Caenorhabditis elegans: one gene and its partner. The protein of the gene in region 2 interacts with the protein of the main gene of each other region in a pairwise test. Each region holds a gene or a part of one and is shown on either strand. Other genes may lie near its edges.

Evidence for each region. Proteins that work in one complex are often made in the same cells at the same time.
Region 1: the proteins of mlc-4 (region 2) and col-181 interact in a two-hybrid assay, tested with the Caenorhabditis elegans proteins (one large-scale study listed by BioGRID).

What each region holds. Positions count from the first base shown.
Region 1 is NC_003284.9:12,100,892-12,108,296, forward strand, and holds col-181 (Nematode cuticle collagen N-terminal domain-containing protein), read left to right. Parts: upstream 1-4,038; coding exon 4,039-4,191; intron 4,192-4,248; coding exon 4,249-5,094; 3' UTR 5,095-5,211; downstream 5,212-7,405. Other genes in the region: W03G11.3 (Putative alpha-L-fucosidase), read right to left, coding at 232-388, 430-510, 964-1,284, 1,418-1,551, 1,842-2,070, 2,124-2,185, 2,230-2,341, 2,622-2,725 and 1 more; W03G11.2 (uncharacterized protein), read right to left, coding at 5,603-5,814, 6,279-6,471, 6,535-6,656, 6,700-6,943, 7,277-7,350, 7,400-7,405.
Region 2 is NC_003281.10:3,390,200-3,397,534, reverse strand, and holds mlc-4 (Myosin regulatory light chain), read left to right. Parts: upstream 1-3,747; 5' UTR 3,748-3,753; coding exon 3,754-3,852; intron 3,853-3,970; coding exon 3,971-4,318; intron 4,319-4,772; coding exon 4,773-4,844; 3' UTR 4,845-5,021; downstream 5,022-7,335. Other genes in the region: cri-3 (Conserved regulator of innate immunity protein 3), read right to left, coding at 86-235, 285-388, 439-623, 674-945; elmd-1 (ELMO domain-containing protein C56G7.3), read right to left, coding at 5,095-5,183, 5,310-5,437, 5,778-5,854, 6,315-6,911. UniProt on the Caenorhabditis elegans protein: Regulates myosin II activity and organization during embryo elongation. May be involved in the organization of mlc-5 into bundles.

The sequences.
Region 1 (7,405 bases), on a different chromosome or scaffold from region 2:
AACAATTTACTTTAAAGTTGTTTTTTTTTCATCATACACATTAAGTTAAATTCACTTCAGTTTTTTTTCGGCCATAGGTATACTAAAATAATTATTTTGAGATTTTGAGCGAAATTTGAAATTAAAAAAAAAATCTAATTTGTCATAGGTCGTTGTTGGTGTCTACCATACCACCGAATATGCAATATTTTAAAAACAGTTCACTCAATTTTTGTTAGTCGAGTGTCTCACATTTTTGGTTGTTTTCACTGATTTCAACTCAAACTGCTCGTGTGAGGTGTCAAGAATCCAAGCATAAACAATGGTGTGCTCTTCCAATTGAAAATTGTAAACGTTTTGATACAAATTTTTCAATGGCTTCTTTCCCGATGAATATTTGGAAGTATACCTGAAAAGACATGTGTGCTCAGTTGTTGAAATTCGACATACCAAACATTTGAAGCACTGGTGTCGTTTTGATGAATCCATGGCCTTGTACCAAATATGGCCTCGGATGTGATGTTCACAAATCTTAAAAACGGAGATTTTAAATAGTAGAAAGTGGACAAAGAATTTAGAATGTTTAAAAAATGTATCGATCTTAAAAGGAAAATAAATAGATATTTAGAATGGAAAACGTTTGAACTTTGTAGAAAATTTTTGAAACTTCGAGCAAAAATTTATAACATTGCCAAAAGGTGTCATAAAACTGCAAAAATTCAACAAGTTCAGGACAAATAAAATTTAAGAATTGTTATGTTACATTTTTAAAAATCCATTTCTGTCCAAAATAAAACGTTTCTAACGGAAAGCTAAACTGCAATTTAGACTAACGTAAAAAAGTTACCACCTCTAAGCTTTCGAAATATTTAAAATATTTGTGTACGGTTAACACATTTTCGTTACTGTGTTTGGTGTAGTAGACATACCCATTATTAACAAACTTTTTTAATTTTCAAATACAAATTCGATATAAATGTTCACCTGCCAATTTCTTCGAGTCGATCCTCAAATATAGCAGGGATTTGTCCATGCATATTCGGTCCAACATTCAATAGCAAGTTTCCATTGCACGCGATTGTTCTTGCCAACTGCTCGATTATCTCGTAAGCTGTATTCACTTCTGATGCTTTCATGTCTCTCCGATTTCCCCATGAATGTTTATCCAAAGTCATGCAATTTTCCCACTTTTTCTCTAATAGCTTTCCTGGATCATAGTGATCTGAGTATGTCATAAATCCGCCGTGTTTTCCCATTGTACCAGTACCCCATCTATCATTGACGACAACTTGATCTTTGACCGGACTGAAAATGTGTAGGACATTCGAGCAAAACTCCTATTTGGAATTTCGAAATATTCAAAGTCAGAACTCTACAAACTGAGTCAGAAACTGCCAATGAAAAATCAAAATGTAGATTATGAATTGTAAAATCTAACCTAGAATTGTAGAGCCATGCAAGAAATTCTTTTGCTTTCCAATAATCATCCGACTTGTCCCATTCGCCATCACTCCAAACTACTTCGGGGTTATACTTTGTGACGATGTCAATCATTTGAGGATATGATACTTGCTGGAATAAATTTCATGTTCGTCATTAAAGTTTACTAATGGAAAGAAAATTGAAGGTGGATTACGGCCTGGGCTGGAAACAGTTTAAAATATTTTATGATACAATGACTAAATATCGTAATCAGATTTTTGAAAAATGTTGGATTTTAAACAAATAATGAAGAATAGTTTTTGCTAGAACAGTATACATTCTTCGAACTGCTCAAATATGATTTTCAATTTCAGTCAAATATGATTTTTTTTATTTAAGGTGTTAGAGTGACAACATTATATTTACAGATTTGTGGCTACCTCTGGATAAAATGTGGTGTTGAACTTCCCGTCATCCAAAAACATCGGATGAAACCATTCAAATTGTGAAAAATAGAGACCAAAGTGAACATCCGTTTTCTTGAAAGCATCTCTGAGTTCTCCAACAATATCTCTCTTTGGTCCAATATCCATTGAATTCCAATTCCATGAAGTTCTAGATGGCCACATTGTAAAGCCTTCATGATGCTTGCTAGTAAACACAAAATATCTGAACTTTCGAAAGATGAGTTACACAAAAAACGTTTTTGAAAACTAGCTTGCCTTGCTCCGGAAGTTTTCACAGTTTCAGCAAATTGATTCGCATTGAAATACTCTGCGGTAAACTACAAAAATCACTTTCAATTGCGAACAAAAGAATGTTACAAACATCTTTAGCAAAATCAGCGTATGTCGTTCCGGGTTTGTAGTTTTTATCCACAAAATTTACAACGTCTTTATCTGGTTGTGTTCCTTTCCAATACCACCACATCCATTCGGATCTTGTTTTATATTTTTTGTTTTTATCGTTATCATCCTTAATTTGTATGGAAAAAACCACTGGAATGTTTTCACTTATCCTTTCTGTTTATACAGAAAAACGAAACAAAAATCTCCAATCGAAAGTGAAAAAAGTTGAAAATAGTGTTCAGGTTGCCATTTGATAAGAAAATGAAAGTTCCCTGTTGTTTGCAAACCAGTAATTTCAATTTTTTTTCTTTCAAAATGATTTTCTTATCAGTCAAAAACATTCCAATTGAACTTGACAATCGAAAAACTTACCTGAACGCAGGCACCGAGTATAGTCCCCAATGACAGAATATGCCAAACTTTGAGTCATCGTACCAAGATGGCAAAGGGCGGTTGTCAAGCGACTCCCAATCTGGCTAGAACACAGAAAATGATGGATTGAATTAGTCATCAAATTACACTTACAGTATAATCGCAATTGGCAAGATGTAGAAATAAAATGGAGAAAATTAGAAATATCATTGAAAATTTATTGATTTTCTATAAAATAAAGGAGCAGCTAAAGTCAAAAGTTTGTGCGAATGTTGTTGTGTTTCGGGATAAGAGAATGTTGGTGTAACGAGCCCGGAGGACGGATATAAATAAGATGGATAGAATCTAATGAGAACAAAGAAGATAGAGGTTTGAACCTTTCTGTCACAAGAAGCATCCTGAAATAAGTATTAATCTTTAGAGCAAGCAAAATTTAATAGTGATTTATGTGAATGTTCTATTGAAAATTCAATACACAAACTTCACTAGATTACTGTAAATGTGCGTCAATGTTATCTTATTGCCGTTCTAAAACAAATTAGTTTTTTGAACTGCCGGTAATTCAAAGTGGTAACTCAAAGTTCTAACAACCGATTTAATTTTTAGAGCACTATTTTGAGAAATGTGTAGTTTGTTTGAAAGCATTTTCTTCAATAGTACCTAGCTTTGATTCAACATTCATTGAATTCCACATAGGAAATTTCCATGATCACATTGTCAAACTTATACTGTCTTGAAGAAGAATAAGTATGAACTAGTTTTTCACAGATATGATGAAAATAACCATGAAACCCGGGGAAACCTTGAAATTAACGTTTAAAGAAACTCATGGTTGCTGATGGATTAATAACTACGGTGTGCGTGAACATCCTGTATTACAGTTTTCCTGTTAAAACTTCAAAAAATGGTCATAAGCTGCCTCCTTTTCTCTGTGATTTTGAATTCAATAATCTGAACTGATATTTTTATCACACAGTAACCTCAATTTCACAGTAGTGAGTTTTATTGATCACATGGAACGTTTTTATGGAAATCAGGCAGACAATATGGATTAAAGCACATCTTGAATCTCGCTTTCGAACTTTGATTACGATGTCAATCTGAAAAAAGAAACACCAATAGATAAAACCGACAAACACAATCATTGCCAAAATCGTTTCAGGAAGTACACTGTCAACCCCGCACTCTCTGCCAATTCTCTTGTTCCTTGCCAACCAAAAAAGTACAGAGAAAGAACAGAAACGGCCACAAATCAGGCGCCAGGCACCATCCGCGTATCACACACTCATTATCATTCTCTCGCTCTTTTTCTGTACTTTTTCAATCCATCCTTTGTTTCTCTAACTCATGTGATAACGTTGCCATGTATGACCGCAACCAGGACGTATCAATATGAAAAAAATTTGACTGCGCGGCGATGAGAGCGAAGAGGCGCAGATTGTCTATCCACAAAACCATTTTGTGTAACGTTTCGGTAACTATCAACAGCTACCCACAGAGTGAATTGTATATAAAAGCGGGCGATGTGACATCCAATGTATCAGTTCCATCTTTTCTGCTGTTTTCAAAGGTACTTCACTTTCTATTCACCTCATTTCACTTTCAATTATCACTTTACTTTTTCCAGATGACGATGGATAAGAAATTCGAAACCGAGAAAGTGAAGAGGTTCGCATTCTTCGGAATCGCTGTCTCCACGGTGTCTACCCTCACTGCCATCGTCGCCGTGCCAATGCTTTGTCTTTACCTCCAATCGGTCTCTTCTTCCCTTCAAGATGAAGTCAACTTCTGCCGAGTTCGTGCCACTTCTCTTGAGGGAGAGCTTGCCAAGCTTAATGTAGTCCGAGCTCCAAGAAAGGCACGTGCTGCTGAGGGAACCTGCTGCTCCTGCGGAGTTGGATCAGCTGGACCACCAGGACCACCAGGATTTGATGGATCCGCTGGAAAGGATGGATCAAACGGACGTCCAGGAAACCCAGGAGAGGATGCTGATGGAGATGACTACAAGCCAGATGCAAGCCAATTCTGCTTCGACTGCCCAGAGGCTCCAGCTGGACCACCAGGACGTCCAGGACCAGACGGAGAGAACGGAGGAGCTGGAGAGCCAGGACGTGACGGACTTGCTGGACGCCCAGGAGCTCGTGGATCACCAGGACCACGTGGACCATCTGGAAACCCAGGAGCTGATGGACCAGCAGGACAACTTGGACCACAAGGAGGATCAAACGTTGCACCATCTCCAGCCGGAGAGCCAGGAGCACCAGGAGCCCAAGGACCAAAGGGACCACCAGGAGCCGCTGGACGTCCAGGACGCGACGGACAACCAGGAGCACCAGGAGACCAAGGAGAGAATGGACCAGACGGAGCCCCAGGAAAATCTGGTTCCGACGGACAACCAGGAGCCCCAGGAAAGGAAGGATCCCGCGGAGGATGCGACCATTGCCCACCACCAAGAACCGCTCCAGGATATTAATTCCTTCATTAGAAATTATATTAGCCAATTTCACTTCTTCTCTTTCAATGTGTTTCTTGTTTCATTCACCACAAATGAACTGCCACAGCAAAACATTGTTATTTCTTAACTTGGGAAGTAGAACATATTTTCAAAAAATATATCAAAGATGCAAAAACGTAAGCCCAATGCGGGGCTCGAACCCGCGACAACCAGATTAAGAGTCTGGTGCTCTACCGACTGAGCTAACCGGGCGGCAATGGCATTAGATGTGGACGCAAGTGAAATAGTGGTAAGGAAAGAGTGGCAGCTGGAGAGAGTAAGTCGGCAAGACGGAGAGACCGTGGGTTGCGAGAGGCACTTTTCGTGTGTAGCGTGAGACGAAGACGAAGACATATGTTCTGATGTAATGGTTGAAAAAAATGGCGAGACGCAGTGATCATATTTTTGCGATTTATTGTTTAGAAAATAATCTCATCACAAGAATTAAAAGTTATAAAAAATTTAAATAGCTTTTCAGTTAACACAATTAATAGTCATCATCGTCTTCATAAGTTTTCCTCCGACTCATGATAAATATTTGAAATCCAATTAGACCACAAGATAATGCAAGTAAACCCGTTCCAACTATTAAGTACATCACCTCCAAAAACTTCTGATCCGTCCCAACCCAAGATGGATGCAAAATCCAGAAAAATTTCTTCATCGGGTATGTGCTTTTAATCAATGATCCAGGTTTATCTGGAATAATTACTTTAGTTTGTTTAGAGTTGAATCACTCGACAACTTTATGATTCTCTGTCGTATATGAAAATAAATGTATTAGGAGAGCATGCAATTATGCTCCGATATTCAAAGTAGCAGAAAAGTATAAATTTTCGAATTTCCGCCATAATTAATAATTCTTCATATATATAGTGTTCTCTAACGTTTTTATGGTTGTTTAATTACTTTTTTTAAAGAGTGTTCCTCATTATTAACTTGTTAGAATTGCTATCATATAGGAGTGGTAAAACAAATTACAAGCAAAATACAAAAAACTGGATTTTAAATCCTACGAAAAGCTATTTTCGAACGTCTTTCAAATTTTCAATGTTTACGGGTTTTTGGTTTTTCTTCCAACCATTACGTTTTTTCATTGTTTTACTCTTTGCTGACTTCTCCGTTTGGGAGACCTTTTTACAACACCTAAACTTGCAACTTACATTCATTATCAAAATACAATCTGTGAACACCTTGATATAGCCCATTATGTTTTGTGGTATTAAGTATTCTGTAGAATTTCTTGAAATTTTTGTTGGTCGCTGATTCTAACCATTTGATAAGAGAAATATTGCGATACCCGCCCATTTCACAAAGTTCATGTTTCCATCCAATCGGTTTCAAAGTTTCTCGAAACTGAAACCTTACTAATAAATTTGATACTGAAATTTCATTGTTGAACAATTTTGAATGTGTCACCTGTTCAGCGTCGCATAAGTTTGTCTCGTTAGGTTCGAAAAACATGTGGCGTAGTTTATCAGCGATCACCCCTTCTTCGGTCCAAGCAATTGGAGAGCCGTTGAATGTTAAACTGAAAGAGTCTAAAGAAGAAAAATATGTTTAGTGTTTGAATTGAAAACATGCCATTGAACATAATACTAGCAGCTCCACCAACAGGAGCATAATACTTTTGGTTGTCAACACAAAACATTGCCATTTTTGGAATGAAAGAACGGGACACTGCATTTTCACAAGAGTAATTTTGATTTTTGAAGGAATCACATTCATTCGACTCTCCTGTTATTAACTGCTTTTTGCAATATGCTTGGTTCAGGGATCTGTGCATCATAAATGTGTCATGCAGCTCGTAGTAAAAGTATACAGGACTCTGAAAGCAACACATTAAATGTTGAGTTCATTTTTTAATATTATGATACTTGGAAAATTTTGATTACACGAATTTGTAGTTAACTCTTTTTGTAGTTTTAAAAAATAGTATTAACTGGCCTGTGCTTGTTTGTCGATTAGTTTTAAGTATTCTAAAAAACAAACCGTTTTCAAATGCATTCACAGAATAAATTTTTGGCCTCTAACTATGGTATCCAACAAAACTTTATTCGAAAATTCAGAGAGAAAGCAAAAAAATCACCCGTTTTGCTCTGAGCTTTCTAAATCCGAAATATTAAAAAAAAGAAATTTTTAATACATATAAAAGACTCACTGGTATAAATCTAGTGATGTTAATGTCAATGTAGCCTTCAGCTACGTTGTCATATCTATGCCGAATGAGAATTACTGAAGAAAAGTTAAATTGTTCAATCCGTTTTTTAATGAATATTTATACCTTTTT
Region 2 (7,335 bases):
CTTATTTAGATTACCTAAAAACGTCAACAGTAAAGTTATAAAAGACAGAAAAAACAAAACAATTGAAAAAATTTCAGAAAGCAATCTATTTGGAGATGAACTTCTTGATCTTGTCGAGAAGTCCAACGTATTGAGAGTGCTCGTAGTGAGTGGCATAGGCGACGAGAGTCTTGCAGAACCGAGCATCGAGACCGCGTTCTTCCAAATAACGAACGAACAGGAGATCGTGGAGGTCCTGGAATTAGAAAAAATCAATAATTTGCGGTCCTCTTGGGACTACTAACTGGATCGATATATTTTCCACTGCTAGCGTACACCTCGGATGGTACGTCCTCGTTTCCATTCTTGGCAGATGGGGCGACGTAGAACTCTTCGACGCGGAAATCATCTATAAATAGTATATATTTTATTCGAGTTTTCGATAAAATCGAGTATTACACTCATCAGGTTGATCGTCAACTGGCACAAGCTCGAGATGGAAGCAAAGTCTCTGATCTCCCTTGGTAATCTCGACGGTGAATGGTGGCATGGCTACTGGAACTGGAGCGACGGCCTGGGATGGCTCATCGTCGAATCCTTCGTCCATATCGACAGAGTGGTTCACATTGAAGACGACGAGAATGCTTTAAAAAAATTAACTTTAGAACTATGAAAAATTCTGAAAAAAACGAACTCTTCGCTTCCATTCTTCTTGGTCAGCCTAACTTCGGCGTCCTTATTGGTGACTTGGAAGCCAGCAAATGTCGGCGCAACGGCTCCTTGAAGATTGTCGCTGCTCAGCTGTTGCTCGGCTTCGATCTCACGGTTCAGGGCCTGTTGAAGTTCTGGCGTTACTGACAGAACCTTGGCCGATTGTGAGAAATGGCGTGGAGCGGCCATTCTGACGACCTGGGATGAACGGAGAGCCACTCGGGACAGGGAGCGAACAAGGGAAGCAGTGTTCATTTTACCTGAAAGAAGAAAAAAATAGAAAATTACATTTTCCAAAAATGATGCAAGTTTTTATCGAGCTAAAAATCAAGATTATCAGGTTATAAAGCGTTTCTAATTGATTTTAGGCTAATTTAGTTGTCAAAAATCAATAATTTCAATGAAAAACCTCGAAAAAATCAGTGGAAGCGTGCAGAACCGAAGAAAAAGCGAGAGAATATGCGAAAAGCCGACGAAAATAATTCAAATAGAGCCTTTCGTGGCAAGATATCTTCGCCGCAAAATGGCATGCGCCTTTAACTTGGCGCGCTTTGGAATTGTGTTCAAACGTTTTTCAGCCATATTTTCTCATTTTAAATCGATTTTTTCTTGTTTAAAATGATTTTAAAGTGCGTTTTCTTTGAAATTATTGACTATTGGGCTTAAAATTATATAATAAAACTGAAAATTGCCAGAAAAATCGATTTTTTGTTGTAAAAACATGGAATAGAGCTGCGCAGCTGGCGCGATGAGTCATGAGTCATTTGAAAAAGCAGCATTGCGAAATTTATGTTTAGAATTTTTTGAAGATTATTGATTAAACTAGGAGATTATCGATTTTAAGGAATATTTTTATACTTTTGAATTTTCGAATTTCGTGTTTCTGGCTAAAATCGTTGGTTTTTCTCGATTTTTCATTAATTTTCAGTTTTTCAGAAGTTTTTTCGTCTAGAAAACTTGTTTTCTGGCATTTTTCGGAATTTTTGAAGCTTCAGTGTATTTATTTCGAGGTCATAGCGTTTTTTAAACGGAAAAACTCTTTAAAATTCGAAAAATCATGTTTTAAATCAAATAATAATGAAAAATCTAGAAAAACCGATCTAGAAAACATTTATTTGCGCGGGAATTCAAAAATTATTCGGTTTTTTGTTGGAAAAATTAAAAAATCAAACAAAATTCAGGAAATCTTTATTAATTTTTCAGCAGTAATGTCCTGTATAGTGAGGATTTTTTCTGTCATTTAGGGCAAAAACTGGCGTACTTTCAAATTTAAAAAACCATTTTTTCGGTATTTCATAGTGTTTAGACCCCAAATTCCGTTCCCAAAACCTCCCAGAAATTAAATCGTATTCCGTATTCCGTCGGAATATCTTGTTTATCGGCAAGTCATCATATATACCTCCTCATTCCAATGTCCTTTCACACACATTCGAAAGGAACTGTCTCCGTATAAATACACAACGAATGGGAACTGTCTTCTCTCCGTCTCTTCACTCTCTTCACTGCTTCTCCCGTCGTTCCGAAGAATATCGATTGTTTTTCCGCTCTTTTCCGTTTATGTTATGTTTGCCAGTCATGTGAATCACTTCATAACGTTTTTTCTGCTTTCCGGAGAGAATTCTCCATTTTCTGCTACAGTTTTGAGGAAAAAAAAATTGCATTTCGTCGCATTTAATGTGAATTTTGGCCGGGGGAAAATATTAAACAATCTACATTTTTATACCGGGAATTGGGTGGGCGGCAAGTGCTGTTCGGCAAATCGCCAAATTGCCGGTTTGCCGATTTGCCGGAAATGTGTAGAGGCACTTTTTATAAGACGGAACCACTTAAAACTGCCTTTTTGGAATTTATATCCCGCTTTTTAAAGAAATTTTCATAGAAGTTGCTTATTTTTCAAAATAGACGTAGGAACATTCATAGGGTGCGTACAATTTTGCCGATTTAAATTGAAATTCTGAAATTTCCAAAAAAAGGTGCAAAACCACATTTTGCCGAAAATTTTCGGCACCTGTCGTTTTTCCGGCAGTTCGCCGATTTGCCAGAAATTTTAATACCGGCAATTTGCCGATTTTCCGGAAATTTTGAACTCCGGCAATTTGCTGATTTGCCGGAAATTTCAATTCCGCCAATTTGCCGATTTGCGGGAAATTTCCATATAGGCAATTTGCTGATTTGCCGGAAATTTCAATTCCGCCAATTTGCCGCCCACCCCTGACATTAACATTAATTGAAAATAATTGATGATTTTTCCAAGTTTTGCAAAAAAATTCCGGAACTTTTAAACTGATTTTCCTTGTTTTTTTTGCCGAAAAACGAAAAAGTGCAAATTTTAAATAATTTACGCTCCGTTTTTCCTCATTTGACATCCTAAATATGCCCTCCGCCTATTAGATTCTAATCTTTTCTCCGTTTCTCGGTCATTTCCCTCAAAAATGTGTCATATTTCGGTTCAAATCCCCTTTCCAAGGCGACAAACGCTGAGAATCAATATTTCCTTCGAAAACCTCGCTTCCAATCGTAATAGGAAACAAAAAAACTGAAACAAAACATTTTTTGCGGCGGTGACTCACCGCTTTTTCGTTATCAAATAATATTTTCCACGCCCCGCATCTTTTCAGTTTTTTTTCACATTTTTTTGGTTTCTACCATCTTCATATTTCATCGTTTTTTGAGAGAATATCAATTTTCGTTTCAAAAATACTGCTAATAAACGATAAATTAGCGATTTCAATGCTAAAAACAATATTAGTTTGCAAAAATTATCAAAATTTCGGCCAAAAATTGAAATTCTCACAAAAAAACAACGGAAACTTTTTTCCTCTTTTCCTCGAGGAGTCTAGACGTTTTTTGCATCAAAAAAAGGTCTCGACACGACAAATTTTCATTAAATTCAAAGTACTGTATTCCCGAATTTTCATTGATTTTTCGAGAAAAAAAATCCAATTAGTAAAACTACAGTACTCTTTAAAGGCGCTCACCTTTTAGTATTTAACATAAATTTGTCGTGTCGAGACCTTATTTTTTCCTCAAAAATCGCAAATTTTCAAATTTTTGCAGTAAGCCATGGCCTCCCGCAAAACCGTAAACCGCCGTCAACGGCCACAAAGAGCCACTTCCAATGTGTTCGCCATGTTCGATCAGGCTCAAATTCAAGAGTTCAAAGTAGGTGACAGCCTCATTTTTCGTTTTTTTTTTCGAAAAAATAAAAATTTAAAAAGACGAAAAATCCATTGGTTTCAGCGGAATTTTTAAAGAACAATTAAAATAAATTCAATTTCAGGAGGCATTCAACATGATCGACCAAAACCGCGATGGATTCATCGATCAAGAGGATCTGAAGGATATGTTCGCTTCCCTTGGAAAAGAAGTCACCGAACAATTCATCGATTCGATGATTAACGAGGCTCCCGGAGCACAGCCGATCAATTTCACAATGTTCCTGACACTTTTCGGTGAAAAATTGACTGGAACGGATCCGGAGGAAGTCATACGGAATGCGTTCCAATGCTTCGATGAGGATAATTCGGGAAAACTCAATGAGGAGCATCTTCGCGAGTTGCTCACCACGATGGGCGAGAGATATTCCGAGGAACAGGTTGATGAGCTCTTTAGAGATGCTCCGATTAAGGTATAATCGCTGTAACTTCGGAACGAAAAAAAGAAGGGAAACAGGAGTTTCTGGCTCGAAAAGCTTGATTTTGGACCTCTTAAAATCGTGGAAAATTCAGAGATTTTCGATTTATCAGCCGGAAAATTTGGTGTCGATTTACGCCGGTCGTGTACTCCTAGTGAAGAAGTTTTTGCTTCTTTATTTTGCAAAAAATTGCGATAATTTTCGCTTTTTATTGTAGATTTTGAAGGAAAAAAATCGATGTTGAAATTACTTGTTTTTTCAACAGAAAAAAGTGCAAACTTCTCCACGGGGAGTACACGATCTGCGTAAATCGACACAATTTTCTATAAAAAAAACACATATTTTTACCAAATTTTCCAATGCAAAATAGTTTTTTTTAAATCCTAAAACCCTAAAATATTTATTTTTTCCTGAAAAATAAGCCAATTTTCAATTTTTTTTTTCTCAGGGCGGACAATTCGACTACGTGGAGTTCACTCGTATGCTCAAACACGGAACCAAGGACAAGGATGAGGCTTAAACTGGCTCGCAAACTCACACAAAATTCTCGAGTTTTTCAAGATTCAGTTCGCTTACACACGCTTTCTTTTTCGCCTCAAATAATTATTATCATTCATGCTTTTTTTCACACCATCTATTTATTGTTGTATTCCACTTCCCCCAATACCATGTGCATAAATAAACTCGAAAACGGTTGATTTTTATTGTAATTTAAAGCTATAATCTTTAAGGATTTTTTCACAGATTCGTTTCTCGGGAAGTTTCAATCATCACAGGAGGGTATTGATGAGCTCGTCATTCGTCGGATTTAGAAGCATTATCAGGGATAATGGAGATTTTTCGAGTTGGCGGGTTATTTCTGCAAAAAATTGAACATTTTCAGGATTGTAATTTCCGGCAAATCGGCAAACCGGCAATTTGCCGATTTGCCGGGATTTTGGCCATAGAAAATTGCCCAATTTTCGAAAAAAAAAAGTTTACTAACCACTGAAAATAGTTTGAGTGTTGGCAAGTGTACACTTTTGTGACTTATAAATTGAGCAAAATCGGCACATTGCAGATGCATGGAGAGCAGAAAAGAATGGATAGAGTCCTTCGATTTCGTTGCCAAAGCTGTAAATGTGCTCTATTGAGAAATGTGCCAAGTGGCGCGAGATTTGAATTTTTTGGTGTTTTTTTGGAAAATAATTTGAAAAAATGCGAATTTTAGTTGAAAAAAAAAAATTTTCTGCCAAAATTCTAGGAGAAACGTTTTTTTTTCAAAATTTCTGAAAACAAAAATTAAAATAAGTTTTTGCCAGTTCTGTGAATTTTTGGTATAATATCTTTTAAACAATTTTTTTTCAAACTTTTAGGAAAATGCCATGTTTCTTGTGTGCTGTTTTTTTTTCTTTTCAAAAAAAACCAAGTGGCACGAGAAACGCGTCAGCAAGCGCCCTTTGCGCAGACTTACTTATCAAGAGCTCCTTTCTTCAGTTGTGTTAATAAAATACTCGTAATATTGATTGAAACAACGGCAAGTGGGAAATCCTGGAAAATTTTCTATTGGTTTTTTAAAAAAGTGCACGGAGCGCGATTGCATTGAAACATTTTTTTGCCAAAAATACGGTATCTGGTCTCGACACGACAATTTTTTGTTAAATACGAAAGGGTGTCCGCCTTTAAAAAGTACTGTAGTTTCAAACTTTCGTTACTGCAAAATTTTAATCGTTTTTTTAAATAGTTTTTCGATAATAAAAAATTCTTTATTGAAAAAACTCAAATGTAACAATAAAAACACATAAAATTCGCGAAAATTCTGCTGAAACAAAAGTTTGAAACTATAGTACTATTTAAAGGCGCACACCATTTCTCATTTAACACAAATTCGTCGTTTCGAGACCGGACACCGTATTTTTGATAAAAATTGCAAATTTTCCGAATTGAAACTGTCAAAATTGCAAGCGCGCTCTATTACAACTTTTTTCAAAAATCCCAATAAAAAACTAACATTCGGTTCAGTAGTGGCAAGAAGTACAATTGCTCGAAGTAAATTCGCCGGTACTCTCTGCGTAAAAGTGTGCATTTGAAGTAGGCCAAGAACTCCGCAACCTCGAAAATCCGTGTGCGGTGTCGCCGACTGAAAGCCTACAGTAACCCAATGCGCGCCAACACGTGACGGATTAGTGACGTGAGAGTATTCTGATGACGTCATCAGGGATCTTGAAACATTGTTAAAGTAGTCCGAGAGGAGAAGCCAGTGTGTTCCGTTTTCATGATCATAGGGTATTTGAGCGAGTTTTAAAATTAGCGTTTTATCCGTATAGGCTTTCGGGCCCATTTGTGATTTTACAGGCCTGCACAGACAAACGTCAATTATCCGATTGAATGTTGATCGATTATCGATTGATTCCCGGGAAACTACTTGTACTTCTGGATCTGTGACGTCATCGGTGGGCGTGGCACTTGGTGGTGCGTTGGACGATGACGTGGCAATTAGAAGGGGGTAGAGGTCTTGAAGAGAAGTTTCTGGGGCGACGGCAACTGTGGGGGAGCCTGGCTCACGGGTTACATCCATTTTGAGAGCGTCTGCGCCTTTTAGCTCGATCTGGAAAATTTAAATTTCACAAAAAAATCTCCAGATTTCAAGGAAATTCTAGTTTTTTTCTTTTTTTCTGCCATCAGGCTTCTAAAAATTTATTTTCTAATTTTCCTACAGTAAATTTAAAGGCGCATACACAATGTTTGTATAAAATACATTTTCCACTGTGATACCCATCCACATTTTCTGTGTATGCGCCTTTAAGTTTACAGTACGAAAATTCGAGTGTTTAAAAGTTTTTTTTAGTTTTTTGAAATTAAACTTTCAAAAAATTTAATCTCTAATTTTCCTACTGTAAATTTAAAGGCGCATACACAATATTCGTCAAAAATTAATTTTTCGCTGTTAGACCCATCCACATTTTCAGTGCATGCGCCTTTAAGGTTACAGTAGGATAAATTGATTTATTTGTTTCTTGGTTTATTTACAA